2 linked regions of the Styela clava genome follow. The protein of the gene in region 2 interacts with the protein of the main gene of each other region in a pairwise test. Links are inferred from orthologs where the notes say so. Each region holds a gene or a part of one and is shown on either strand. Other genes may lie near its edges.

Region 1 (15,769 bases), on a different chromosome or scaffold from region 2:
CAACATATACCTTCGATAAATCAGGCACCGTCTTTCCCTTCAAGAATTTTTCCTTCAGCTCACGTACTGCACGAACCATACCTGGCACTCGATAAAGTCCAACCTCCTACAATAGTTATAAAAAAAAAAGTCAAAATATTATACCAGTGAAAATTTTCCATGAAAATTCGATCGAAACAAGTCATGCGCATTCACTCAGTAGAAAAGGAGAATATTGTCTGAGTCAATTTACATACAAGTTGATACAACCAACCAAAATTATGCCCTTAAGTAGAATTGGGGCAGTTTATTATACACCAACAAATGCTGATTGATGTTGATACTTGAATCATTTTGAATCAATACAATGAAAAATATTTCCAATAAAAAGTTTCTCTAAAAGCAGTCAAAGTCCAATCACAATTTTAACATATTGCATTGAGGCCTTGATATAGCTGAAGTATAGGTAATTGAAAAACTTCCTGCAAAGTAAAACATTCACCTATATATACATCACAATCACAATATCCTGATAGTTGAAAATGATATGCTAATCCTGCATGTGAGACCTCCACGTTATTTGCTACTTTATACCAATTCTTATTCATAGTGAGTGTATATCTTTCTGCCCATGGTCTAAGCATTATTACCTGCATCCCACGCCGATCAATCTCATGAATTGTGTGGTAAATAATAGGTGGAATTTGTGGACTTTCATCCGAATGCAGAAATGCCTCCAATCCTTCCGCACCTTGAAATGGCTGGATAAGAAAGATGAAATAATAATGATTGAGATAAAAACTACAAAAAATTTAGTAATTACCAATGAATATAGAAGAATTTTTTTATATATACCAAAAATATTTTATCTAGTTTATTTATTATCTATATATATATAATATATATACATATGATTGATATGAATGCCATTTTTTTTATAAAGTCGCAAATTAACTTCCTGCAATCAAAATTACTTAATTAAGTTGTTCAGTAACAATAACAGAATAGAAAGAATAAGAAATTTTACCAATAGTATAAACGAGAATATCAGTCAAGGCACTCAAGACCGAAGACTTATCGATCGAAAGTTAGGGGATCCCCAAAACAGCGCTCTTACTCCATAGTGACACCTTGTGTCCCATCACTAATTAATTAATAACTCGCTAATTATACGACATAATTCGTCCAAAATCAATAGGATTCTGGTCCAAGATAAGATGAATGCACATGCAAAATCTGGCGTAGATTCAATCTCGCTTTCGTGAGATATCGCGTGCATCTAACAGACATACAGACAGACAAATACCTATCAACATACTTACCGATTAAAATCGATTAGTAATAAAACTCTAACACAGTGATTCTCATGGTGGTCCGGGGCCTGAGAATTTTCAAAATGGGCCTACAATAAGTCCCAAGAAATGTAATGGCCAAAATTTAGTCCAAGTGTTGAAGTTAATTTTTTATATTATTGAACAAAAAATTTTTTAATAAACCTTCCATGGGCCCAACAGTTTTTTGACACTAAAATGGGCCACAAGAGAATAAAGGTTGAGAACGACTGCTCCAACATACTTTATCGTTTGAATTTCCGCCCGAAGGTGAATACTGTGATGGATCACACTGGAATTCATGAGCCATGATTTCACATTCAGGATGCGTAACCAAGCGACATTCAGCACATTTCATTGCTCTTTTTCCAAACTGAATGCGTTTTCCACACTAAAATAAAAGTACTATTGATAAGAAGAGGTACCAATTCAATTTTTTTCCAAAAAAAAAAGTAACAATTTTCAATCAACTCACTGGTTTACAAGTTTCCTTCACAATAACACAGGGTTTAGATTGCATGTTGTGAGATCTTGCAGATTTAGTTGGTGTTGTCTAAAAAAAGGCTAAAATTATAATTGCTCATTTCCAGCAATGTCTGTATTTTCTCGTAAATACGATTCAAAATTATAGACTTGGTAATGAGTGAAAAGTAGCTGACTGCCTGTGTAATTACCAACCATGAAATACAATGCCCAATCCTTTGCAGTACGACCATCCCAAAAAACAGAATCCAGGCTATTTGGAACATGTCTAGAAAGAACGTAACTTTTTGCAAAATAATCCATGAATTCTGTTTCTTATAATAGAGCCTGTTTGGAATGTACAAGGCCATGTCCTCCTACCTGTATGCTTCTTAGTATTGACTTGGGCTTTGCGCTGGGTTCAGGTGCTGTTGGCCAGAATTTATCCACATCGCTCTGTGGAGCTTCTGATTCGGAAGATACTGAAAACAGAGAAAAGTTATGTATATGACAGAAGTAACATCTTTTTCGTTTAAATCATATTATTTTAATTTGAATTAAATAGGTTATTTCCAAAATTATATATTTTGAACAATATTTCAAACCACCAACCATCTGAAGAACTCAATTGATAACATTCTACCAACATTTTATCACAACAATATACCTAATTGTAGCATACAACACAAACTAGACAGGTAGTCGATTCTGACATACAGGATATTCGAACATACAGGTGAAGTCTAGCTATATTAGTTTTACATGAACTTTCATGAAAAACATGAATTCTCTTGGAAAATAAAAATCCAAGAGTTTTTGCAGGGCAATAAATTTACGAATAATTATATTGTTAACAATTAGTGAAGAGCAAAGCTATCTTACATCCAGCACTTCTTCTTCGATGTTCCCTAGATTGACGTCTTCTACCTTGATGTGGAGCAGGTCTCGTAAAACTCTTCTCCAACCTTTCAACACTGACTGTAGTTGGTCCATCCACAGTGCAACGAAATTGTTCATTCGTTTTCTGTGTTAAATAAAGTGGATGTTAAATTTCAATGTTATAACTGGAATTTACAGACTTTGGATCATAGTAGATATCTTCAGAGTTGGGTGTGCTAATTTATTTCGATCTATATTGTACTGAAATCTTGCTATATTTTCAAAATGGTAACTTTAAATATTAACAGAAAGTTTGAACTTGTATATTTATGCAATTAATTTCAACAAAATTGGGTTAGTCTGAATAAACCAACATGATAACATCATAGATTTATTCAACACCTACTTGTTTCATTTTGAAAAATATTATATATTTTTTATTACACACACAAAATTCGTCCCGAATTCCTATTTGCATACCACAATTTTGTCACATAATAAGTCTAGTTATCAACCAAAAGGCAGGTTGAGGTAAAAAAAAACTCCCACATTTTAAATTCAATAAAAAAGTGGGAGTTGCCCCACCCTGTATGATTACGGTAAATGGATTATGAGCTAAGATTTGAAAAACATCAAATGTATTAAGGCCCAAATTTCATCACACAGCTATGCATGCATTTAACAGTATGTACAAATTCGTGCCCATTATATACCAAAGTGCAACTTATTTTGAGTTGAGAATTGAGATTGAAAATACTGACTGATAGAATGATTTAAAAGCATGCGATTGTAAGAGAAATGAACTCAAAAATAAGGTCAAACCACATACCAAATAGTAATTGCCTCCCACCGCTGCTTGATAACTGTTGTTATGTCCAGGACTATGCTATGGACAAAATAGTCTTAGATCATGCATATGATAGTTGTAATTAATATTGATTTGGAAGTATTCAGAAAATATTACATTTTTAATCATAGAGTAGCTAATATTTCAATGATTTGATATTTTATAATGAGTTGTGGTCACACAATCCTCTCTCTATGTGAGTAGAAGAAATCTAAAACTCTCAAGAAGTAGTGGAAATCTACCACCAAGTAAATCTCTATCTATTCTAAACATCATAAAAAAAGGGATATCCGGATATAAAATGCCATGCAAAATGAATTACAAACAGTTACTTGTGTTAGGAATTTATATTCGAGTTGTAAGTATTATAAGAAAACAAGCATGAAGTAGGCAAAAATAGTGGAATACGTACCACATCATATCTTTGTCTCTTCGATGTTGAGAATTGGTCTTCATCATTGTATGCTGCTTTCTAAAGAATATATTGCAGAAAAAATCTTCAGACCAGAATTTTAAATTGAGCGAGCCTGAGTCTTTCATACTCAACATTGGCATGACACATTCTACTATTGAAATAAAATATTCTTTATTAAACGCCCATTAGCGAAGATTTTAAAAGCAGTCTAAACAAGCAGTCATAGAATCAATTGAAAAAAATTTAAAATACCGAGACGCTAAAATACCAATGATTCATACTCGTAGTAATATACATTTATACAATATTTTTGACGCTTACCCTTCCCATCTTAGCTCGTCTGTATTGCTTCCCATTGCGCAAAGTAGTCGCATCAAGATCGTCTTCTGTTAGGTCGAAAGAAATATCGGAATAATCAGAAAGAATGGATCCAGTCTCATCGATACGCTGAAGTCTTCTGTGCATAGTACGACCACCACGAGGTGACGCGAATCGACTGAAAAGATCATTACGACACATTAATAAATATGCACATAAGTTTAAAGAAATTCACATTACACCATTATAAGATAGTTCTAAATGATCATCAACACAACATCAAGTAACCTGGAGTTGAGAAAATCCAGCTTTCCACGTTGTTCTTCATTGAGGGGAACAGTTGTCCCAGTATCATCACTGAATAATAAGTCTCGCACCAGCATGATTTGTTGATCCTGAAAGTACAAAGTTAATTTCAATACAGAGTGTGAATTTCGAATACCTTAGTTCTTGGCGTCACAGATTACACATATCAGGATCAAATCCAATGTCCCCACTTTAATCCAAAATATTTAGGTCCTCTCAAAAATAGCAACACTTTACATGTATAGGAACTTGTTCAAAGCAAAAGACATGAATAAGTGAGGTATGTAAATGTTCATCTTTCATACCTATGAACATCTTATTAAATCAGCTATTGTTGAGCGAACTTTTTGGGACATAACAATGGATTTTGTTAAGATGAACGCTGGAAGAGTACAATTACTTGGTTGGATAGCTGAATTTAAAAAAAAAAAATGCAGTAACACCATTCAAAGCTTCCATACCTGTTAAGTATTTTATCATTACTCAGAAAATGAAAATCATATCAAGCAAATGTTATTTAATAAGCAAAAGTTAAATGGGAAATCTACATATTATTTCAACCAACATGATTCGATTTTTACTATTTTAATTAAAAGATATTGTGCCTGGCTTTTGGAGATATTCTTCAATGTGATTTATTTTATTCTAAATACTTTTGTATTCTGAATTATTACCAATTCATCTCTGTCCTGTTCAGCTTTTTGTCGTTGCTTCAACTCAACCTCGATCTGTCTTCTTGCATGTTTCAGTTTTATCATTAAAGCATTTCTCTCAGCTTCAGTCTGTAGATTTCAAAATTGATTAACAAATGAGGCATAAATGAGGATCAGGTTTGGGCATAACGTATGAATATGACAGTCTAAACTAAAGTTTATTCAAAAATTCTTGCAAATATTAGCAGTAAGAATAATATTTACGAGTAAAGACCAGTAACGAGATAGTATTTCAAACTTTTTGATGTAAACCATTTTATTTTTACAGATTGGAATGATCTAATAACAACTTACTCAAGAACAAACTCCAGGTACTGAGGTATGCTTTTTTGTGAAAGGCATTATCATTAGGAACGGAGGTTGAAAACTAGACAACAGCTATAGAAAGTTTGTGTAGATATAATGATATTAAAAAATAGAGTTCCATAATAATGCAGACATATAGTATTAATTAACCAGTCGAACTTTATTTACGGTAGTCAAAGAATTGAAATAAGCTTGACCATTTTCATATATAATGTAATATTACTTTTGTCAGCTTTTCCTGAAGGTCTTGCGCCAGTTGTTCAGCCTGATATCCTATTTTTCGAACAGATTCAAACTGACTTGCAAATTGTAAGAATTCTAAAAAGTAAGAGCTTTTATAATTTTGTTATTGACCTGGCCATTTAGACCTTAAACTTCTTATGAAATAAAAATATTTGAGTCACATTAAATACAGATACAATATTAATAAAAATTATACCAGGTTCACATCCACTGGTTGCCAAGATCCTATATCCTCTTAACACTTGGTCCAGTTGTGTAACAAGTGGTAGCTTAGAGAATGTTTCAATGGACATATCTGAGCAGTTATCAGATGTTGTCTACTCACAGTATTTGAAATATTTACAGATTTAGGTAAATCTGAAAAAATAAAGCAACAAATTAGGGCCAATTATATTGCATTTAATTCTTCTTTTTCGATACTCATGGCTGTATGTTGCAGAAAACAATATGGCCAACTCACGCCTCGATGGATATAATTTATTATATAAGCATGGCGTGTTATGAGTCATCTGCTGTCGTACCAGACGCCCTCACTTCAGAGATAAATAGAGTGTTTGTCCTTGAACCGAACCGTTTTATTGAACCAAATGTCAGGACATCTCGCAATCGGAAAACTGTGCCTGCTACTGCTTTAGGACAGTAGGAATAATTATCTACGGCAATGAGAACTTTAGACTACGAAAAATGATGTCATGCACAGATGCCTAGGACAGCATGATGTATGCTAGTCTATAAAATAGCCAAATATCAGTACGGCACACTTTACAGATAGAGGGACATTGTCTCGTTTCAGAGAATCCCATTTTGCCGATAAACCTTTGGGGAACGGCTGGACCTTGTTATCCCTCAATATCGGTAAAAATACAGCAAAATGAAGTTGCGGAAAAAACTACAAAGCACAATCTAAAAACGTCATCATTGAATTCCTTGAGAAAAAATAATCCGATTTACCATAGAAAAAAAATTTCTACTGTGACATTCGAGAGTTTTTAGCAAAAAACGGCTATTTTGATCATGTGACGGCCACGATTAATTTTGATTATTATCGAGACGAGGACGCCCGTTTGTGAGACACATGGAGTATTTGTTTTATTGAACCAAATGCAGAAATGACAATTCTAAGAATTTGGATAGTGCTGTAGTGTGCAGGAATGAATATGGTACAGTAAAAATATTCAACAACCTAAAATTTCATTACTGCATTATGACGTTGCCAAACACTTCGAAATTTCATATTTCACATCACATTTTTGTATGGCGTTATACAGTTATATAAGCACTTACATCATTCATTTTCACACATGATAGGCCTACTCATCTTGTTTTAATCTTTTTTAAAGGATTTGCTCCCTCTCCAGAATTCTCCATTTTTAATTTCAGAATTTGTTTGTATTGCAGTAGGCTATTCAGGTATTGTCAGATTGTGGAGCTTTCAAAATAAACCAACACACTTTTCGGTACTCCTGAAGTATGCGCACCAAGATGTCGCATAACCTGAACCCTAACCTGGAACACAACCTGAGTTCAGGTTGTGTGCCATCTTGGTGCGCATACTTCGGGAGGTCCCATTTTTCATTAGTCTGTTAGTGGAGGGAACTTTATACAAAAGATTCAATAATTAAGCTTTATCAATTCCATCTCTTATACCGTACAGACATTCCATGTCATTTCAGCATTTACTGCTGTACTGATTTACGTTACCGGTACCGGTATCTATCTAGAGATCTATCACACCACATTCTGACATTCGTGTTCAGGGTTATTTAAGCAATTACGGCGTTTGCTTCGCGAGACCGCAAACTTCTATCTACTTATTCCTATACAATAATTCCGACCAATAAATTATAGCCTAACTAGATCATCTACGTAATGACGATACCTAACTACCGAGTGGCAGCACAGCAGTATTGAACGGTGAGAAGCTACGCGTACCGGTGTGTATCTGTATCCCGGCTTCAAACAACAAATGTCCCGCCGCTTCTCGACCAATCAGCATATCGTAGATCATCCACATGACGGCGCCTGCAACAATCAATGGAGGGCATATCTGACAGTGAAATAGGGGTGCTCCCGAAGTATGCGAACCAAGATGGCGGACATCGGAACTTAACATGGGTAACAGGTTAGGGTTAGGCGATAATTTCTTTCCAATTTTCCTCATTTTAGTCCTATTATCAGTTCGAAGACTAGCCAAGAGCCTCCCGTAGTATTTATACCTAAAATTATGGCCTAACCCTAACCTATACACATATTACATTCCGATGTCCGCCATCTTGGTTCGCATACTTCGGGAGCCCCGGAAATAGGATAGGATTTACATATTTATCCCGGGGAAGAGGAAAGCCGATAAGACGGCTTATCCATATGGCGAACCGCCGCCTCTCGTCCGGTTACCATTCCAAGTCGGGTATGGGATTAGTTATATTGCTTGTTTTCGGAAGCATGAACTTGGTGGTGGAGGAAGGCGTAACCGACCAGCGGTTACGTGAACCACCCAACGACGGCGAGGAGTCCAGCAATCCTCTCGCACATAACCATCCCTGCATGGGATTCGAACCTGCGAACCCACGCAGAGTAATTAGAGGTGCGGTGGCGAGCGTATTCCTAACGCTAAGCCCGTTGAGCCACACCACCGCGCCAACCCGGAGATCTGTAATTTTAAATTTGCTGGAAAGAGGGAATTCTGTAATGTTCGACAAAGGATTTGCCATCGGGAATCTGCTGTAAGTAAAAATTGTAGATGTCCCGCCGCTTCTCGACCAATCAGCATACCGTGCTTGCAACAATCAATCAGACAGGGCATATCAGACGGTGAAAAAACCCGGAGATCTGGAATTTTGATTTTACTGGAAAGAGGGGATTCTGTAATGTTCGCAATGGATTTGCCATCGGGAATCTGCTGTAGGGCAAGGTGGGGCACGTTGGGACATGGGGCACGGTGCAAAATCAGCTCTCGCACTGTTACTATATTCAGATTCAGATTCAGATATTTATTTCCGTCATGCAAGAAATCCTGTCCGCGGTTCGATGTTTCAATCCGCCCTCCGGTGAGTTACAACGTCCCCGCGAACGGACAACGGACGGGTAGAGCGGCGCAAGCTATGAGGTGAAATTGGTTTTGGGAGGTTGAAACTAAAATTTCACCGTTTCAGTTTTTTCTTTTTTCTACTGTAGCCTTCCCAACATGACAAACCACCGTCTGATATTTTTCAGCTTTAGTCCACTGTAAAATATTCATAACGTTGGCGAGTGGATGTGCCTTCCGAATTTCGCCGTGGGATGGTCTGAAAATATTTGTTTCCTATGGGGAACAATGGACCTGGGTTCAGTGGGACATGCCCTACAGGGCACAATTCGACAGTGTTTGATACAATAAGTGCTTAGAGACCTAGAAATGCGTTATATTTTGTGTAGTATTATGGTTTCTTTCGACCCATGGCCCAATATGGAATATATTCGAGAATCAATAATATTTCCACATTTAGATTCCCGGAAGGAAATAATCAGTTTTATTTGCAAAATTTTTTATCCAAATATCTGAACTATTCCAGTTGAACATTGATTTAAAAAATATTAAATCTTCAAATTCGAAGTCTCTCTGTTCTTTAGACCAGTGATTCCCAAAGTGGGCGATATCGCCCCCCGGTGGGCGAAAACGATACAGAGGGGGGCGAAAAAGTCGAAGGGGGCGACAGGGGGGCGATTTCGCGAAACCCGTTTTTGTTCGGCGCATCGTACACTTGGTTACTGTACTCTGCGTGCTTTCATAAGTTTGAATCACGTGGGTGATTATCACAAGCGAAAGGATTGCTGGACTCGTCTTCGCAGTAAGGTACGGCAGTTTGCGTATCCCAGTGGTCGGCAAAATACGGCCGGAGTAAAATAACCTGACCCGGGATGCTTCACTGAATGGACCTTTCCCCGACCTTTGACCCCGGAAAATGCTTCCTATACTTTACCATTTTAAAATTTTCAGTGCTTATTTTGAGTGGTTTCGCGACTTGTTGCCTGTAAAATGGGGTATTTGTTTCAAACTATCATTCTAATTCATACCATTCAACAATTTGTTTTTTAAAAGTACCGGTGAAGAATTTTATCACAGCTATTTCTGTACTAATTTTTGATTACTGTAATTAAACTGGAACTTCTAGGAAGACAAAGTGATCATTGACTTATTCGATTTATATTTGAATTTCCGAAAAAACAACTAAAACTAACGAATATAATTCAAAAACGCGAAAATGAGGTGATTTTCACGACCACGCCTGAAAATCTGTCTGAGTGAGAAATGTGTCTGAGTGGATGTAAAAGGGAGCATTGTTACGTTTATTTTTGCATCTTGCTGATTAGCCAATGTCACGAAGTAAACAAGGAAGTATATGCCCGGGGAAACACCCAAGCGGCGGTTTTGACTAAGAATTAATTTTATTTATAATCTACGCTCGAGGAGTAAATTACATTTTTTACGTAACAGAATTTATCGTGAGACACGTTTAGACTGAATTTCATTATATCCTAAAAATTCTACAGCTACTCATTTAACGAGCCTACAATTTAATTATAATTAGACAAATGGAAACACGCAGAAAAGTTGATGTTGAGTGCAGGGGTTCAATAGCGCAGTAAATTTTTCGAATATATTGCAATGCAATGAGGAAATTAAATTCATAGCCTATTCAAGAGATTCGTTCACCGCTTAATTTTTGTAAGAATGTATCTTCTTTAAAAAAATCTTCATCAAAATTTCACAAACCATGCGAAAATATTCACTTCGATGTTTGAAAGTACATATTTGTGCGAACAATTATTTTCGAAAATGAACATTACAAAGAACTAGGATTAGTGATGTTCATTTAGAAAATGTTCCAATCTTGTCGTCGTAAGGCTATCAAGCGTAATACAGCAACAAGACAATGTCACAATAAATGTCATCGTAATAATTTTTCAATAGGACGACTGAGTTGAGATCACGAATTGTCGCAGTTTTCGCACGCTGTTCCGTTTTTAACTTTTTAAAAAAATATATGCGACCCGTAAAAGACTAGCAACCCTAAATTTTGTCCCGCGAGCGACATAAAATTTGCCGACCCCTGGGCCGTATCCGTTAGTTGGTCACGACTTCTTCCACATCCGAGTGCACGAATCCCAAACAATCGGCTGATTAATTCTATGGACTGGATGACGTGATAGGATGAGGAATCGGGGATGAATTTTACCAAAGGCCGTTATATATCATGTATTTTAGTGCAGGTCATCAGGCTATAGGGATGAACGAGATGTACGAAAATAATTAATATAAGTTTAGAAAGAGTAACTTTGTTTTCATTATTTTAATGTGAAATGGGGTGTATTTAAGGAGTTAAATGCTATAGGGCAAGAGTACACGGCGGTTTTTGAGAAGATAAAACCCTGGATTGTTTCATTTCCGACCTCTTATATGATGAAAAGGGATTTTCTGCCGTGCTACTATTGCTACCAAAACAACGAAATCGCCTTTCCATCAGTAAACGGGGTAATTTTAGATATAATAATAAACTCGCTGACGAACACCAAGCTCATCCATCTCATTAAAAAAGACTATAAACTATGAGTTGTCTTCTTATTTGGTCTGTAATATATGCGTTCTGGCTTTACATTTTTTTTTGTAGTGGAGGGGGGCGATGAAGTTGTATAAACTACTTTAGGGGGGCGATGGTCAAAAAAGTTTGGGAACCACTGCTTTAGACGATTATGCTGATTAAGTGCTTATTTTTAAGGGCATACTTCGTTGAATTTTGGCAGACTGACCCATTGTGCCCCAGAGTCTGTTCGAATGTGCCCCACAAGTGGGGTACAGTGGAACACTTGACAGACGATTTTCAAAGCATTTTGGTAATAAAATGTGTGTCGCAAGGAAATTTCTTAGTCGCTGAATAAAAACTACATTTACCCCTCTATGCATTAGTCCCGCCAACTTAAGTGAATATGCTGAATTAACGGCTCAAAATATGCAAAAGAAAAAAAGTGTCCCAACCTTCCCCACTTTCCCCTAAGCGAAAATTGTAGATCATAATATTCCTTCATTTCATTTTAACAGTAGGTTTACATGTGATGAGGCATTGCAATCCAGCAAGATTGCTTCACATACCAGTAGAAAGAGCTATCAGAAGAGTTGAAGAATATCAGTTATCTGGATGCAGAATACCACTGAATATGCTAGAAACAGTTAAGCAAATATGTACTGTTGCTTGCCTATTAACTAAATTCAGCGGCCCTTTGTTTTAAAAGTAGGTATTCAGTTTTGTTTTTGAGTTTTAGTTTGTTCATTGTTACAAATTATTTTAAGTTCAAGCAGTTTAGTTTATCAAATACATTCAGAACATATTTTATGTCTTTTCAAGAAAAATCTTAGATTTGTTTGTATGAGTAAATGGTGTGGGTGTTACAACATTATCAGATCAACAGTTAAAAGAAGAGGGAAAATTCAGAATAGCCTGTTATACCCCTTGTCACGTCTGTTTCCACTAATTGCACTATGGCAAATACACAATTGAAAGCCCAAAGCAACTGTAAATACATTCAAAAGCAATAAAATACATAAATGATTGGGCAATAAAACATTTACAACAGGCATATTAAATTTCTTCTCTTCATATAAAATTAAGCTTCAGAAGTTACAAAAAAAAAAAAATTGTTGTCCTCAAGATGACATGTTTGATGCAACCGTGTTTATGAAATGATAATAAAAAAAAGCATTCTAGACGCATTTGTATGTCCAGAAAATATGCATCATTAAAATATATAAAATAAATAAAACATGCACCTGAAGGTAGAGAAATAATGATATCAAACCACTTGAGTCCTGTGATTCCTAAACACCTCATTTTAGAAAATAATAATCGTGATTCATTTTCAATGTCCATTCCCCTTTATCATTTTTGAAAAGACGAGAAACCTTGTCAAAAGTGTCAGACAGCGGGCATTTGATTCTAATAAGCCATAGCATAGTTTGCCATCACAAGATGGGTTGTAAACTTTGCGATCTGGTGAACATCCCAACCAGGGACAGGTTGAGATATTACTAACTCACGTGGGGAACACTGGCATATTTTTATTTCCTCATATAATTTTTCTGGTTCCATTTGGATACCTCTTTTTTTATCGCTACAGTTTGGGAATTTTGAAGGAGTAAGATTTGATGCAAGGGAGTCGTAAATTTTCGTTGTTGGTGCCAAATTGGAGAGTTATACTGATTTGGAGTCATGCATTCAATGTGTTTAGAATCTTCTCTGCCCAAAGTAAGATTTGGCATCACTTGGTGTTGCATTTCTGTTAACACTGTGTTAGTTTGTGGTAACAAACTAGACAGAGGGAGAGTGGAAAATTAATAACTTTCCTCATCCCATATCTGTTGATATGCTATAGACTATAGAGGATTCCCAAATGGTGCTTGTCCAAAATTTATTAATATGTTTACAACAGAGAATGTATTTGACGGCAAAATTGTATTCAACTGAATATTATATTGATTCAAATTTAGACATCTCAGCCATTGCGTAATTCTTCCAGGTTTGTGTAGAGGGCTTCGAATTGTCCTGATGTTTTTGATTCTGATCTGACCATCGTCTGGTGCGGACGTGGTACCGGCATTTGGCGATGGAATACTGAAATAAGAGATTTTTTGGACTAAAACTTGGAAACCCGGACAAAAATAATTCCTTCAGTGAATCTGATTTCAGAACTGTACCTGTAACCGATTGGAGCCGAAAAGAGTCTGCAATCCTGGACAAAAATAAGAATGCTGAACTATTGGATCTGCGCGAAATCACTATAAAATACAAACAAATGTTCAGAACAATGAAGACCAAAATATAACCAACATATGATACTAATTAATGTAAAGAATGCCCTCGATTCATCCGAAATCTATAGAAACTTTGATTGTTAGTTTTTATGTGCAAAAATTGGACTGCCTTCAAATTTTTCTAGCTGTATGTATGCGTGTTCTGGAGTTTGATTGTTTTGCACTTTTTTTTCACATCTCATGTGATTATCGCCCAAATACGTTGATTTGGCTCAAACGTGTTTGTGACCGACACACTGTCGTCTTTATTGTCATTTTTTTACAACTTGAATTAGTGACTCACTTTTTTTCACATGGGACAACCAAGGAGGCTTTTACTGCTGCTCATCGATTTTTTTTATTATTTTTAAATATATATATTATTTGCGTTCCTTTTGGTAAGCGAGCACGTACATTGCGCGTTATAAACTTTGTTCTCAAGTTTCGCTCGTGTTCCGGGCATTTCTATTATATATATGTTTTGTTGGTTTCATCGTCAGTAGTTTATTTTTTTTTTTTTTTATCACATACCAAAAGTACACAGTAGACATCGAGTTTTGTGTTCCATAATGCCGAAATAAATTGTATTGTATTTTGAATAACAACTCAGTAGGCTACATTGTGCCGCCGCAAATTTACAAATAATGAATCGATGACATCTTGCTTTTATTAAAAATTCTGAACATCTTGGAAAACTGTAAAAATAATAATGCAAATTAGTGATGCTGTTTATGAGTTGCAACTTAATTTGCCATCAAGGGTTGTATATTCAGCATGGTTTAATCGAAACCTATTCGTAATGAGATTAGATAAAGTATTTCATACTCCGCCATTGTAGAAAAATGCCAACAACAGACGGAGATTTCAGGAAAGTTGTGTAATTTATAAGCTGCCCCAGCCTTATAGCTCCCCTTTAAAAATAATAAACAATATGCAATGCAAAAAGTTGGTAAAACTTCCCAGCTAAGCTCAATCAAATAAGCAAAAAATCTTAGAAATCTCTGTTTCCACTTCGGAAAAGCGACGTAACAGTATTCGATTTGCCAGCCGAACAGACAGATTTTCTGGCATGGTTGTGAACATGACCTCGTTTTCTCGTGCAATTTGTCAGTTTTTGTTTATGTTTCGGAAATTTCAGTACAAATTGAAATATTACTTAATTATTCTGTCTTTTTATATTTAATTACAGTAATCAAAAGTTAACTAACAGTTGAGGTTGAGTGAAACTTAACTACCTCTCCTTGCTCTATATGTCATTACGCAAGGATGCTGTAGCAAGAGTGTAAATGGCTATTGCACACGAACACAAATATATTTCTGTATCGTTTCGATAGGTAATTTGGAGACCTTTAGGAGATATCCCTGTTGCTACGAAGTGCCTTAGATTCCGCTTGTGGTGTTGTAGCCTGGTTTCTTTCAGTGTAATTTTCTTCGAATTGTTGAAGTCTATTTTGTGATGTTTGTAAATTCGACGAAATGTTACAGAAATATGTTTGTGTTCGTGTGCAGCAAGACTCTTGAATTGAATAGAATAATCAAAAGTTAGTTTAGAAATAGCTGCATGTGATATAGATCGGTACTTTTTAATAACAGGGCTGCCTATTTGGAATTGAAATGATTGTTTGAGACTTATATATCAACCATTTTAAGGCGTAAACTAGCGAAACCACCCTTAAAATGAGCATCAAAAATGTTGAAATTAAAAAATCTAGGTAGAGACGGTCGGGGAAACATTTATTGCTGACTCAATATTACCACAGTCAGTCGCACAATACTAAACACATAATGTCAGCTTTTGATAAAAAATATGTCTTATGTGTAATAACGCAGACTCAACATCTTGGTTTTGCTGCCCTCTACAACGTGCTGCCCGGGGCGGCGCCCCTCTCTAGGCACGCCACTGCCAATATGTTGCGGATACGAAATCTTTTCACAACAACAATGTAGCAAAACGATCCATTGGTCTACCTCGAGTCCAAGTCCTTCGATTTGTAAATTCGCTGAAAATGTGCGAATATTTCCCGTTTAGTTTGTCAAATTGTTTCAAACAAAAATAAAGTGCAGTGTTACAAATTTGCAACTTTAGTTCTAAGATACTCATAAGTAGGAATCCTCAATTTCCACAACTTTACTATAAAAAACGATAAT
Region 2 (15,923 bases):
TTACCACATTCTCATCGTATTCCCTAATGTTTGGGTTTACACAGACAACCATTTTGACTTGTCCTCTTCCTTCAAAATACATTTTGAACAAATGTGTGACTTTAGAATTTCTGTATATCACCATTTCTTGACCATTATTTCTCTGATTTTCCCTAAGCTGCTCAAGACATCTGAATTTACAAGAATATTGAAGATATAATTGGAAGATAATTTTAATTATGTTGCAAAATAGCAATCTATTTCTTAAAAATAATTCTCGTCTGCCCATGTTCAAAACTTAGTATGATTAGAAGATAATTTTGATCGTGTTTCCAAATATTGACTCACTTATTCCTAAAAAATACACCTTATCTGCCCAAGTTTGAAACTTGACAAAAAAAATCAGGGCTGTTTAAAACTGAACAACAAGACAAAAGTACTATAAAGCTATAAGACTACAAGAACATTCAGTCCTGATATGGTCGCTAAAAACAAGCTTACACATCACATTGCATATTTTACTTCTCGTGTCATTATTTAAAGCAAATAAAGTGGATTTTTTTAATGCTTGTGATTTGTATTACAGAAAATAAATGTGTCCAGTGTTGGGAAGGTTTGGGAACCTCATTCTCTATGCCAGGGGTTCTCATACTTTATTGGCTGTGGGCCAAAATTAGAATCGGAAGGATGTTCACGGGTCGGAGAGTCTAGCGGCCAAAAGTGCGCGACTGTTTAGCTGGGATTCAGTGGATTTACCGCCGTTGCCAAAAAATGTCTGTTTACTAAGTCTAGTTTTCATAACGCAAACAAAATCTGTTAAACACTATTTTACCTGAGCTCGGTGAGCCATTTTAAATCGTTACACGGGCCGCATTTGGCCCGCGGGCCACGGTTGGGGAACCCCTGCCCTATGCCAATCGAATACAAGGCCCGCATAATTATGGCTAGAGGATTTCAATAAATAAAATTTCAACATTTGATCATTCCGAGATTATATTCTATATTACCAAACTACTCAGATAAGCACATCTTTATTTCCATTACATAAAGATAAAAAATGCAGAATATTATAAAACACAAAATTGATTAATTACCTTCTCAAAGTCATCAGAGAACTATTAATATTTCCAGCCTCTCTTAATCTCTCTCCTCCAGCACCAGTACGAGCAAGTCGTTCACTTCCTGCTAGATCGACCAATGATAATTGGCTGACGCATATCAAACTTTTGTCCTGAAGATTTGTATTCAATAAAGAATTATTGTTGGTTCAACAGAATAAGGCAGCAAATTAATATCAGAGATCTCGGATTCGGGGCCTGGCTAGTTCATCCACCACCCCATTATGGGGTAAAGTGAACCAAAAGGGAAGAAACAGCAAAATGGCTTGTTATCTTAGTAGCCTACTGCATAATTTAGAGCTATAATTGAACTGAGAAGCTTTGCATTTAAAGATTTAAGGTAATAAACTACAATTACATGGAAAAAGTACTTTTAGCCTAAAACGTCCCTGACATCGGGCGAATGACAAGTAGCAAAATATTCAGATTATCGACTGGCTATTTGGCTAAGTTACCAAAAATATTCTGAAACTTCCATTATTCTTAGTGAAATGGTGATATGATACAATTTACAGTATCTAAAGCTAAGATATGCAAGTACCTGTAACAGATCTTCTCCGAGAGGGTCTAAAGGTGCTTGGACAAGTCTTATGTTAAAAATACTGTGAGAACGACTTGACTCAGCATTAAGTTGCGTGTGTGCAATTCGTCGCCTTTCTTGACCTGCACAAAGATTGCAAAAAGTAAAATAAAAGTAATTTTTGTTTAGATTGCTAATTCAGTGGTTCTCGAACTTTTATGACCCATGGCTCCCATAAAAAGACTCTGAATACTCTGTGGGCCCCTGTTTACCTAGTTTAGTTTTTGATAAGTTCATATCAGTTATTCTTTTTTCTATGTTTATTGATAATGGGCAAATTTGAATTAAACAATTCACAGTTAATTTGATTGAAATTAATTATTGAGAAGTAGCCTACATGGCGAAACCTCCGTGGTCGCTTGGGTGCCCAAGCACCCATTATAAAAACCCTGTCCTAATTCATACCCCAACGCATCTTAGAGTAACGTAGCATATTTTGAACGAAAAATAAAACTACACGCAACAAGTACATCACAGAAAATGAGTGTTAAATAACAGTAATATAGATTTACCTCTTTTAAAAACACTGAAAGCTTCTTCTGTTGTTGTTATTTCAACTTCTGTTACTCCATAAACAAACATATTGTGTTTTTTGTCTTCTCGGAGTCTTTTGGATTGCGGAGGTCTAAGTAAATATTGAGCAATAATTTGTACTAATCAAATATAAAAAGAATCCAAATCGTATACAAAAAATGATCAAAAGGTAATCACTTACTTTGGTCTACTGAACGGATCATATTGTATATCTTCCAATAAATCATAAACATAATCATTATATATTTCAACATAGGAAATGAAAACAGCATATCTCATGTCTGAATTCACATGTTCTGATCTGCAATAATCTATCTCGTATCGAAGGTCTGGACGATTTCTGCTCCTAAAACAGAAAAAAAAGATTTTAAAGAATTAGGCTTGAATGAAATTCATGAAAAGTTTGGTTTAAAAAGACAAGGTCACGCGCACTCACTCATAAGAGATTGACCTCTGCGTAATTTTAAGGTATTGTTTTGTTACAATAAAAAAATATAAAAGTGACGTTAGGTTGACCAATAAAATACCAAGCGCTACTAAGACTATAAAGAATAATAGTGATGAGAGAGTTAAGTAGTTCCTGCCATTTTGCCTGGAAGGTGCACTGACTGTATACGAGTGGCAGCTCACAGCCAGCTGGATTGGGTGACTGAAACCTTTTTTGAAGGGACAAGAGTAATCAATGTTATATTTCATGAAGTATAAAATTGGCATATGCCACAAACTTTCTGCTAACTTCACCAATATGAATTAAAATATTCAAAAATAAAATATAAACTTTGTGAATAATCCATAACCCTAAAGCAGGGGTGCACAACCTTTTTGCTATTGGCGGCCACATTGCATTTATTTCTATTCAATACGGCCTCCAGAGAACTGATGAGCGTGTCCAAAGCGTGCAAATTTTTTTTGGCTTTTATGACATCATGACCGCGTATTTGACACATGTGATGTGCAGTTTGCCCAATTATGAATTATGTAGGACTACTTGGAAGTATAATAATCGCATTTTAAACGGATTTTTCTTTTCGGTGGACCTATTCTTGAGCAGATATATTGCAGCAAGTTGCATAATGGTTGCACAATTTTGAAAAAAATCCACCAAAGTCCGGGAGGGGGGAGACCCCCATTTTCTTGTCCCCAAAAGTATAATAAAATGTCAAATATTTTAATGAATTTATTCTATAAAGTTTGCAAAGCATTGTAGCAATTCAATCTTGGTCTCCCTTGGTCTTGCATGTGGGCAGATAAACTTGCAAAGTCAGGTAACTGGCTGGATACCATCAGCCTTTGTTCAGACTCCAGATTGGCGTCTAACAATCTGGTTCGGTACTAATTCTCCAGGTACCCGGTACTTCAAGCTGCGGATGCCTTGCTAGGCTAGCTTGCTACGTTGCTATGCTGGCAAACGCGTGGTCAATCTGAACCGTGAAGGAAAATCCCCAACAGCAAATATACCATCCTTTTTTGCAGTACCTCTGTTTTGCTCCAATATACGCCAACATAGCCGCCAAATCCTATATTTTGGACTTTTTTTTGGTCAATAGGATTTTGTATGTGGAGTATTGTGGACGGCCGCATTATTTATTCACGACGGCCGCAGGTTGTGCACCGTTGCCCTAAAGCAGGGGTCGGCAACCTTTTGAACTCTGCGTGCCATTTTATGAATAATGAGCACCTGCGCATGCCAAACATTTTTATGTGGTTTGCATATTTCCTATTTCCAAGGGAAATTTCCTTTCCCTTCTGAAACAGTCGCCGTGATTACACGCTCGTAAAAATAACCGACTTTTTTAGCGTATACCGACTTATTAGTCGCGTAAAATAATCAATTCATGACAGCTACGAGAATCTATAAAATTCCCTTCTATCTTGATATAATTGGGTCCAACGTAACTCGCGGATGCGTCTTCTTGCGTCAAAATATAAACATTACTAGTCTAAAATACCGCTCAATCTGTTGACGTATAAAATATGAGATAAACATGCCTGAGTGTATTTAGTTTCGATACTTTTTTGTGATCTTGCGAATTCGTTATCGCCGCTAGAAAAATCTCAAGATCTGTAAAATCTCGTAGAGTACAATTAAATACATATAAAGTATATCAGTAAATCAAAAATACATATTTATCGCCTCGAAATCCCCACGTCTTTTTCGACGGATAATATATAATGATTTTTCTGTTGTGCAAAGTAATCAATCCATGACCGATACGGCCATATTTAAAATGTCTTGCTATATTATAATTTACTTGTCTTCAATTTAACCTGCAGTTGCGTCGACAATATAAACGCATACGCATCAGTACCCTAAAATACCACATCAATCCGCGGAAATAAAAATGTGTGGTAAACTTCCCGGTTATATCTAGTTTTGATCCGTATTTTTCCAATTTTGCGAATTTGACAAATCTGAGCTGTACTTGCAAAAATGACTCCGCTCTATCGCAATGCTGCCACCCAGATTTTGTTTTCGATGATGAAACCGTTAAAAAAATCCTAATATCTGCTATAAAAGCTCACGGAGTAAAATTTATTTTGGTACAATAAAAATTGATTGAATATACTTTAATTAATTATCTTATATCTCAACACGACTCGGGGAAAAAGTCGCGTTTCCAAACTTATAATATGAATTGTATAATATTAACACGAAAATTCCCAACGGCAATTTAAAGTAATTGTTCCTATTCTAATGGCCTTATGATTCTCAATGCCGCTCAAACTTATGTGTGCAATAGGCACACGAAATTTTGCAATTTACAATGCTTAAAGAAGCTTTTTTAATCTGTCACGGGCCTCGTACAACAAATTATTTACTGTTTTATTTTCAGTATTTTATATTGCCACTTTTCAATAAAAAAATTTGTGTCGCTGCTCCACTCCTTTTGGACTTTAGCAACTCGCTGCCGATTATTGTATACCGGTAATAACTCTCAGCCAATTCACAAATCTGGGCGAATACAAAAAGAAAATAGTTATTATCGTTGACGTGAAATACTTTTTGTGATTCTGGGAGAATAAACACTGACTTAAAAGTGTCTACGGTCAAAATAACACGTCACGCTGACAAAAATAATCGGCGATTCGTACAACTTTTTGCTGGAATGGTATGAATTGATGTAATAATATTCAATATTTCACGATTATCAAAGGGCAAAAAGTAACCCAACAATAGTATAAAAAGTTGCTAGTGGGTGAACGAGTAGTTTCAGGTAGTGAAGCGTTTCTGAAAGTAGCCAAATCTGGCACCGCTGCACCGCATATGCTTATCTACACTGAAATCCCGTACAGATTCAGGCCTCTGATCCATCGCTTTTCCGAAAGTAACGAAAAGTGGCAACAATTTCGGCTTTCCGTCGTTGCAGTTAAACATTACATGTTTTTTCAAAGGATTTGTCGAATTGTTAATTTTTGTTCAAATGTAGAATTTTGGTAGAACAACTAAAATAAATATCTGATCTGCATCAAATCACTTGGCGTGCCATGAGAAATCCTCTCGCGTGTCACAATTGGCACGCGTGCCAGGGGTTGCCGACCCCTGCCCTGAAGCATGCATCTTCAATGTATATACATAAACATTGAAAAAAGTCATCATCATTACTATAATTAGTGACATTTGAGAATTTAATTGCACAGAATAAATTTGATTATACACTTCTATTTTAAGAAGAAAAAAAAATGACTGAGTCAGGGTTACTTTTTTTGTGACTTACTTATTTGGTGTTTTCATGGGTGTTGTTGTCCTTGGTAAAATTTCTCTTTCTTGTTTTTCCAGCATTGCATCGGCTTCAGGTTGTACGGAGAAACCATTCATGTTATCAGGGATGAACGACTGAAAAAATAAAGTTTTCAAGTTTATGAAAATGCTGCAAAGTATATTTTTAAGTATGATTGGTAGATATTCATTGCTTCAAATGGCAAGCTCTAGAGAGCTTTTTCGAATTCTCCCCAAAATCTGAAATTTCTCAAATTCAACAAACTTAGCCTATATTTCAGTTGTTCGCCCCTTCACAGTGCATAATCTTTATTTATTTGTGTAAGATAATAGACAACACATCAAATAAAATATTTTTTCTACAAAGCAAAGTTATTTATTGAATTTATTTATTTTGACTAAACAAACATTATCATTTTTGTAATTTTCTGATCCAGTTTTGAAAGCAATTCAAATAAAAATGAATGCAAATTACATATTTTGTTGCAAGCACTCCCTCCAATGAATTGAAGAGCATGTCCAAGCTTCTTGGTAAAAAGCCAGGGTTATCGACTGTCCCTGTCATAGTGTATGTCTTTCCTGAGCTGGTAACTCCATATGTGAACAAAAGGCCTGAAACGGAAATAAATATTCACATAAAAATCTCTACTGCATAGTGTATACATGAACTTGAAAAAATTTAGTGGCCATTAATATAATAGTTTCACATACACGAACTACGGATTGTTTGAACCACATAACAAGGAGGCACGTATTCAGCGGGAGTGAAGTTATAGTCATCAATTTTGTTGATCGAAGTCAAAGTCAAAATCTCAGACTTTGATGATCAAAGTCAAAATGCCACTAAATATGCTATACTTAAAAGCCTTGTATGCATCTCCAAAAAGATTTGAACTTGCAACGCTCTAATGAAATAATCAGTTTTCGAAGGTAATAGGAGAGAGACATGTTTTAATTGATATAAAATATTCACCATTTTTCCCCTTTAGCATCCCATCAACCATTGGTTTGGCAACAACATTAAATACTCCATCTTGCCCTATGTTTTCACCAAAAATCCTTGAAAATTGGCATTCAATCTGTTGAGAATAAGACAAATAAAATTGGGACCTCCTGAAGTATGCGCACCAAGATGGCGCACAGCCTGAACTCAGAGGTCGTGTACCAGGTTAGGGTTCAGGTTATGCGACATCTTGGTGCGCATACTTCAGGAGTACCTAAAATTGAGTTATCTGGCGAAATTTCAGTTAACAGTTTCTATAAAACGTTCTCCGACACGGATCGAAATAATTAATAGCAAATGTTATCTACTAGAAAGTGTGTGGGAATAATACTCGGAACAAAAACTCTAAATTATGAGAGTATTACGTACAGCTCTTCCATCAGTAGCTGACATCCGTAAAGCTTTATCATCTTTAATTTCAATACAACTTTCTTCTGCGTCAGCGGGAAGTGTTCGAACTCTGCAGCAGACCTTAATTAAAAAGACCGCAATTAAAAAAGATTAAATCAAATTAGAAATTGGCAGAACTGGGCATAATGAATGTTAGTTTCTTTGGGGGGCCAAACTCGTTATGGTAAAAAAGAAAGTCAGTGCTTAGAATCACGATTCCAGAAAGAGGATGCAACTAAATTTTGCACTACATAATCAAAAAATTAAGAGGGCACTTCCAACAAATGCTACAGACGTTTCGATACTAACAATATTAGGAACTACCATAAATGATTTTGCAAGGTGAAGATGGATTCACTTGAGAAACTCTATTTTTTAATGAAATAAAAATCCTTTTTTATTGGTATCACAATCACAATTTATGAGGCGATGATGCCATTCAGAATGCTAGAAAGCCAAATACAACAGGATTCTAGAACAGGAACCATATCTAACTATATCCATCAAACATATCAAGAACAAACACCTATAAAAGTCTTCATCAAAAACAAACGAAACCGACCTCAACTGGATCCATTTGACCTCCTGATCTAGGAGTTCCTCTCCTTGGAGTTTTTGCTGGTGTTCGTCTGAAATCAAATACAATGATATTCTTATAATAAATATTTATACTTATTTTTTATTTATGGTATTTGTGTAACAAAAAAAATTATTAATTCAAATAATTTAAAATTTAAACATGGTTAAGATACGCATACGAATGTCCAGTCATCAATTGAAGAAGCCCTTCGAAAGCTAATTTGTATAAAATGAATTATAAATGTATTTCGACACTTACTGAGGTCTCATACCGTCTTCACACCAGCTTCAAGCACTCTCTGGAACTGTTGAAAAATGATTTTCAATAAAAAAATATCGGTCACTCAATATTCAGTATTTTTTTCAACTCTGATCTTTGGTAAATAAAGGTAATTACTGAATTATGTCCTATAGGGTTGCATAAAAAAGATAAAGAATTATATTGAGTCTACTTTCTCTACTTATCCTTATTATTGCTTACATGACGGAAATGAATTTTCATTTATATTTCTTTCAATGACCTGCAGATCTTGATTACATATTTCGATGCAACACCGAGAATGCCCGGAAGAAATCGAATACATTCAAAATTAGTTATACTCAATGTTCTAAAGATATGATTTTAGGTAAAATTCAGAATGCAGTACGGCATAGTTCACCGACAAATAAAGTGAATCATACAGAATTATGAATGGAATGAGAATCAAAACGACTGCAAGAAAATTTAGTGTTCAAAAAGAACGACTTTCCATTCTGGCTTTGAATCAGAGAAAAGGCGAACTTGCTTTAAAATCAAGACAACTAATACTGTTATAGGCTACCTAGAAAATAGAAAGATTAAATCTGACGTCATCTCATTACGAGAGTGAAATCGTAACATGATGACCCAGCTGTGGAGAATAGGGGAAATTGCCTACTATAACCTGATCGATCTTCGTATCGTTGCATATACAAAAAGATTACATAAGTGACAATAATACAGTACGGTACACTATACAAATCGCGAGAATGTCCCGTGATTTGGTTCAATAAAACACGAACACTCCATGTGTCTCACAAACGAGGGGCGCCTGGCACTACGGCAGATGCGTCATATCACGCCATGCTTGTTTCGATATTAATCTAAATTAATTGTGGCCGTCAGGCGACAAAAATTGCTGTTTTTGGTCACGATAGAAAACTTTTTCTTAGATAAATCGGATTATTTTTTCCTGATGAATTCGATGACGTTTTTAGATTGAGTTTCTTTGTATTTTTTACGCAGAAATGAGACAATGTCTCTCGATCTGTTAAGTGTGCCTAGTGCAGTAGTGCCCACGCAAAACAATAATATAAAAAATATGTTAATTGTGTATTGTGTCACATTTCACATTTCTGAAAAAAAAAAAATTTGCATATCAGTGACCTAAACATTCGCCAGTTGCATCTGAAGTTTCTACAATCAGACAATGTTTGCACCGGGCGCGGCGGTGTGGCTCAACGGGCTAAGCGTTAGGAATACGCTCGCCACCGCACCTCTAATTACTTTGCGTGGGTTCGCAGGTTCGAATCCCATGCAGGGGTGGTTATGTGCGAGAGGATTGCTGGACTCCTCGCCGTCGTTGGGTGGTTCACGTAACCGCTGGTCGGTTACGGCTTCCTCCACCACCAAGTCCATGCTTCCGAAAACAAACAATACAGTAAAAAACTAATCCCATACCCGACTTGGAATGGTAACCGGACGAGAGGCCGTGGTTCGCCATATGGATAAGCCGTCTTATCGGCTTTCCTCTCCCCCGGGATAAATATGTAAATCCTATCCTATCCTATCCTACACCAGTACACTGAAAGCCCACACTGCTGCACTAGCATACTAGACTTTACACATTTTATCTAATCTCTAACAATATTTTCGTAAAAATAATCGAAATACTAAAAATGTTTAAGAATTTCTAGCTTTATGGAGCATGCACTCGCCCCTTCGCGACTAACGTGATCAAATAGTCTGTAAAACGTCTACAAATCAAAATGCTTGCGCCCACAGAAGATAAGGCTTTTCGGATATCCCCGCCGAAACACTTCATTGACTTTAAAACGAATTCGCTGTAGCGAAATTTATATTATTTCGTCATAGAAAAAGATTAAAATATCAAGAGGGTTGGCGAATAAAAACGCGTAATTATTTAGTACACATTACGTTGATTTGTTCACCTGGTTACTGTATATTAAATTTTTAAATTTTATTTATAGTAGATATATTACCTTTATAAGACAATAACATATTAGCTGAAAGTAAATATTTCTCTGTATGTAATGATCTCGGACAAGTAAACAAATTTTTAATTTGTTCACTGGTAGGTTGGTTGCTGTATATTAAATTTTCAACTTTTCTACGAAGTATATATATTCCCATGGACCTTTCCCCGAGCATCGACTTCTTTGTTTACTTCGTGACATTGGCCAATCAGCAAATTGTAAAAAGTGACGTAACAATGCTTCCTTTTCGCATCCTCTCAGACAGTTTTCTCACTCAGACAGATTTTCAAGCGTGGTCGTAAACATTACCTCGTTTTCGCATTTTTGAACTCTATTCGTTAGTTTTCAGTTGTGTTTTGGAAACTTAAATGTAAATCAGATAATTCAATGGTCACCCTGTCTTCCTAGGAGTTTTAATTTAATTGCAGTAATAAAAATTAGTGTAGAAATAGCTGTGATAGACTAGGCTAAAATTCTTTAACGGTACCTTTAAAAAACAGGTTGTTGTATGCGATAAATCATAATGATGGTTTGAAACACATACCCCATTTCACAGGCGCCAACTCTCAAAAGCACTCTTGAAATAACCCCGAAAATTTTGCAATGGTAAAGTATAGGAAGAATTTTTCGGGGGTCAAAGGTCGGGGAGAGGTCCATTGTTCGACAATTATATATTAGTTGAAAGTAAATTTTTCTCTATATGTGATGACCTCGGACTGCTACGTACAACACATGTAGCGGCTCAAAACAGCATTGTAAATTTTTATTGAAATGTGTTCTCAGTTATCTACTCAGTAGAATCGTGATATAATGCTAAAGACCGTCGCCTAGGTATAACATCGAGCGTAAGTTTGAAACGAATGTTGAAAATATCTCGCGTGGTTTGTAACAATTTTGTACGCGCCTAATATTTTGGTACAAATTGTGTTATTGAAATAAATAAATTTTGTTTACCCGACAGGTTGCTGTATATTGAATTTATAACTTTGTAGTGTATTCGCATTGTAAGACAATAATAAATATAAAGAGACTGATACCAGTTGGTATGTGAATATATATATATTTTATATATGTACAAAGTATATATGTATAAAAATATCATATAAATATGACAAACAATCATATCACAAATGTATAGGATTAAATGCCGAGTAAATACCTAAGATCTATTAAAATAAACAAAAAATAAATAGTTTACGTAGATCTAACTTTAAACATAACAGCTCTAATTAAAAGTACATATTTTGACAAATACAAGAATATATGTGGAACGCATATTAAGCATAATCAAATCGATAAATTTGAGTCAGAAATCATCATTTTTTTTCAATATACTTCTATATTATTATATCATTATTGTTTAATGAAATTGCGTATAAAACAAAAATACGAGCAACGGAAACTCATAATATGTCTAAATAAATAAACTGACGATTCATAGTACAGTGGACAACAAAGAAATGGCGCAAAAACATGAATGAATAAAAAAGTTAGGAAAAAAGAAGAAATCGAGATTCATAAAAATGACAGCGTTAGCAATAAAGCAACCAGTAGTAAATGGCACTTTCAACTGTTATGAAATGTATTTTGAATGCAAACAGCCATTAGTCTATCCAAAGCATCCCATTGTTGCGTCGATCCTGCCACTGGGTGATGCCCCGAGGATTCAAGAGGAGCAACCACTGACCGTAGAAAAGGCGGTGGGAGATTCTTAACCACACAGCAACTCAGTGCACTTCGACTGATTTTCATATCCGGCAGACGACGCCAAACTCCGGTCGGAATTTCACGATTGGCAGGCAAGTTTTCGGGCCTCAGGTTTTGTAGTCTTAAAACATGCCTCAAACCATCCGCATTATCTTCATCGTTGTCGCCGCTTCCATTACCTTCATACGAAGGGCTATCGTTGCCGTGCCGAGCCAATCGATTACTCGGACCAGGAACTTCAGCGTCACTTCCTCCAGCAATTACGTCATCCGAGTCGCCTTCATCGTCAAAGTATTCTACGTTGCAACAAGTGGAAACTCCATTGAATCCACCCATAACAGTAAGTTTTCCTCCGAGCACACACGCACCAAAGTTGGACCTGCCAATGTACGTAAGTGAGTTTAAAATTAGTGGATCGAATCCGAGTTAATATATAAAATTGTTGATCAGTATAATGGTACCTGCCAGTTGACATATCGGGCCATGTCGTCCATAAGTTGAGTTGTGGATCGTAAGCTTCAACACTATTCAACCTGGAAGAATTTCCATCAAATCCACCCAGAGCAAGAACGCGATTCTTGTAGGCTATAACAGTGACCCCCGAACGAGGAATTCGCATCGGAATAATGCGTGACCACTGTTGAGATTCTGTGTCGAAATATTCAACAGAAAATACGCATTGGTGTCCAGTGAAACCTCCAGCAACGTATATCTTTCCAGATAACCCACATACACCTGAAACAAACGGAGAATTATATTTCAAATGCCCCAATACAAACGTTCCCAAAGTTTAAACTCAATGAAATGCATTGTAATGAAAGTATTACTTTATTAACATTAAATTACCACAAGCAAAAGTTAATTCTATAGTGTTAGCATGTCAATACAATGCGTGTGCTTGTTTTTGCGCTCATACAAACTATATATATATAATAATTAACGACTGAAGGTTGGCTGGCACGATATAGTCCGTCATGCTACTCTCTCATCGTTGATTTCAACAGATTTGTTCACTTTATGCAGACTGATAAGTTCCGACTACACATGCTTTAGTATATTTATATTGTTAAAAATGTGATTTACATTCTCTGATCAGATGTTACCTGCATCGCTCCTTCTTTCAGTCATATCGGGTAAACGAGTCCAGACATTAACATTCGGATCATATTTCTCCGCGGATTTTAATCTTAAATGTTCCCCTCCACCTTCGGATCCACCAACAGCGTAAATCAATTTATCAAGTTCAGCAACTCCAACGTAGCATCTCCTACAAGTGTGACATTATGATTTTAATAAGTTGAAACATACCGAATTTGCACATAATTACACCAAATGTACCATACGCTTGGGTATTAATAAATAATAAACAATTGAGGTAAATTTTTTATTCATATCACTGTATTTCCCAGTACAGTATACTTTCGTATATGCAGTGTTTAGTAGTAATCGCCAATACCCATATTATGGGCTCATATTATCGAGTACGGCGCGGTCACAAATATTGATCCTTTCTCTCTTCATATGTATCAACGTTTTCGTGCTCATGGAGCGCAAGTATACCTGTGATGCATTCCACACATTTTCTTCCATTTTCCTGATATGAGATTATAACGATCACAGGAATTGTATGTTAACTGACCATCAAATCCACCAACAACATATAACATTCCATCAAGATAACACACGCCGTGATATGCTCGGGGTTTCTATAGAATTTAATAGTTAAGTTTTCAGTTGATTACATTGCTTTTACTAAATCAGTACAGTATTATGGTTCCATTACATTTGAACCCACGTACATTTGAACCCATGACAATTGCACCTGCATACTATTGCACCTATTGAAATTTTTTTGTTGTACGGATAGTTGAACCCATACTAACCCTAACCCATGGGTTTCAGCACCTGCATATTGATTGAACCCGCGGATATAGACATGGGTTCAAATGTACATGGGTTCAAATGTACGGTCACCCAGTATTATATATGACAGCAGAGTTTTGCAGATTCTGCTCTAGTTTCTTTCACTATTACCTTCTGTGAAATGTACTTCAGTGGTGCTAAAATAGGTATAGTGAAAAAGATTCTGGCAATACCTTTCATAACAGCCAGTATTAGGTATATATTTTGCACATTAGTAAACATAAACGTGGTCAAAAAGGTGTAGTTCATTGGTATTTATTATAACAAAATATACTCTCTGATTGGGAAGCATTTTTTCTGGAGCAATTCCCAAAAATGGCGTGCCTGGTTTCTCAATTTCCCCGAATAACACGCAATCAGAAGTAGTCTACTTAACACTAAAGGTCGTCAAACGATTTGAGATATTGCAATCGAAAATATACTCTAGTTACTCTTTATACACATTAGGTATTTTGTGCCGTTAATTGTCATGTATATATAAAAAACCCAGTCATGCGTATGTATGCGTCCTACTGCGAGGCGACAGCTGTTACGGAACCTTAGTCGGATGGAAAATATGGATCACATCAGAAAGAAAGATTGCGTCTAACAATATAAACCACAGATTTTCGCCGACGCTTACCTTCAAGAGCGTCGGAAACGCTATATTTGTATCACACCATGTTCTAGTCACAGGATCATATGCCTCGCTAGATGATGTAGGAGCGTTGCCGCTCCATCCGCCCACGACTAGAATAACTTCTCGCGGAAAACGAGGCCTCGAAGTGAGGCGCAGTATATCGCATTCTAGCGATGTTGGTGGAAATGATATGTCTGCATTAAATAACTTGGTGCCAACATCGGTAGCAAATTTTGTGAAAGCTGCTTTATTGTCTCCAAGATTTTCCTTCATCCTCGATAAATGAATCTGCTTTTCTATGAGGGATCTGCGTTAAAAATACTAATTTAGGGCAAGAAACTAATACTTGACTATATAATATGATTAAAAAATTATGTCAAATATTTCGAGCTCCAAAGCAGAATCTTATATATATATACCATAGCATTCATAGATAAACAATTAGTAAAACAACATTTAAAAAACTTGACACAAGTTACCTCGATCGTGCAGATGATATTACGAGGTCGTGATTTCTCACAAAAGCTTCAATGAATTCCGCTTTCAACAAACCTAGTCTGACGGAGAACAGAAGATTGAAGAAATCCGTTTGGCGATGACGATTGATTGGACTACTAGCCCAGCTGTCAAAAACAACTCCATTAAATCAAAAGGGTGGGCTAGCGTTGGATGTTCAAAATTCAAACCACAAACATTGGAGAAAAAAAATTTTGGGGAATTTTTTTAGATACTACACAACTTCTGCAGTGTATGAATGAAAACTAGTGGCTAAAATAGTGGAATATAAAATGACCATATGTGAGAACCAGCAGCTTATCTTGTGGATTATAGAATGTACTTGAAGACGACGGAATCAAAATTAAGATATATATGTAGATATACACCCCTTGTTTGAATAAAAAGGGACATAAAATATTATTTACATGACACGATGCCGTTTACAAATGAATATATATATAATTGTGTTGTAGACATGAGAAGTTTTGACTATCTAATCCAGGGGTCACCAAACTACGGCTTGCGAGCCGGATGCGGCCCGTGGCATCTTTTCATCTGGCCCGCAATAACATGAAAACAAGGTGCATTTTTTCCAAGGGATGTATTCCCGAGCATCGACTTACTTGTTTATTTCGTAACATTGACCAATCAGCAAGATGCAAAACGTGACCTAACAATAGACCTTCTCGCATTCGCTCCGGATTTTCAGTTGTGGTTTCAAATGATATCTCGTTTTCGCGATTTTGAATGCTATTCGTTAGTTTTGATCGTGATTTAGAAATTTAAGTATGAATCAAGTAAGTCAATCACTATTTTTCTAAAATTCTATACCGGAACGCAGCGTTTCCGCGAAGGATACACTCGTGGCGCGTGCCGTTGCTGTGTACGTTTCTCGTGCTAAAATAAACGTCGAACGTGAATTTTACGCTAATAGTACAAGTCACATTAACTTTTGTACTGCTTACATGCGAATATTCATGACAGCAATTGTTATCTTAACAGGTAACCTCATGTTGTTCTTGATCTATATTCTGCGATAT

What was found.
Region 1: the proteins of kinesin-like protein KIF23 (region 2) and rac GTPase-activating protein 1-like interact in a two-hybrid assay, tested with the Drosophila melanogaster proteins (3 studies listed by BioGRID). The link is inferred for Styela clava from reciprocal best matches to the Drosophila melanogaster genes pav and tum.

The regions. Positions count from the first base shown.
Region 1 is NC_135259.1:2,657,367-2,673,135, forward strand, and holds the start of rac GTPase-activating protein 1-like, read right to left. Parts: upstream 6,175-15,769; 5' UTR 6,093-6,174; coding exon 5,996-6,092; intron 5,875-5,995; coding exon 5,780-5,874; intron 5,320-5,779; coding exon 5,212-5,319; intron 4,627-5,211; coding exon 4,520-4,626; intron 4,410-4,519; coding exon 4,235-4,409; intron 3,971-4,234; coding exon 3,911-3,970; intron 3,538-3,910; coding exon 3,481-3,537; intron 2,797-3,480; coding exon 2,655-2,796; intron 2,255-2,654; coding exon 2,154-2,254; intron 1,864-2,153; coding exon 1,786-1,863; intron 1,702-1,785; coding exon 1,555-1,701; intron 741-1,554; coding exon 630-740; intron 107-629; coding exon 11-106; intron 1-10.
Region 2 is NC_135250.1:9,098,753-9,114,675, reverse strand, and holds the start of kinesin-like protein KIF23, read right to left. Parts: upstream 8,312-15,923; 5' UTR 8,172-8,311; coding exon 8,161-8,171; intron 7,952-8,160; coding exon 7,885-7,951; intron 7,404-7,884; coding exon 7,302-7,403; intron 7,009-7,301; coding exon 6,903-7,008; intron 6,542-6,902; coding exon 6,405-6,541; intron 6,047-6,404; coding exon 5,928-6,046; intron 2,558-5,927; coding exon 2,393-2,557; intron 2,303-2,392; coding exon 2,190-2,302; intron 1,761-2,189; coding exon 1,639-1,760; intron 1,211-1,638; coding exon 1,074-1,210; intron 171-1,073; coding exon 5-170; intron 1-4. Other genes in the region: uncharacterized protein LOC120346194, read right to left, coding at 11,703-12,222, 12,305-12,578, 12,947-13,110, 13,404-13,549, 14,389-14,692, 14,865-15,008.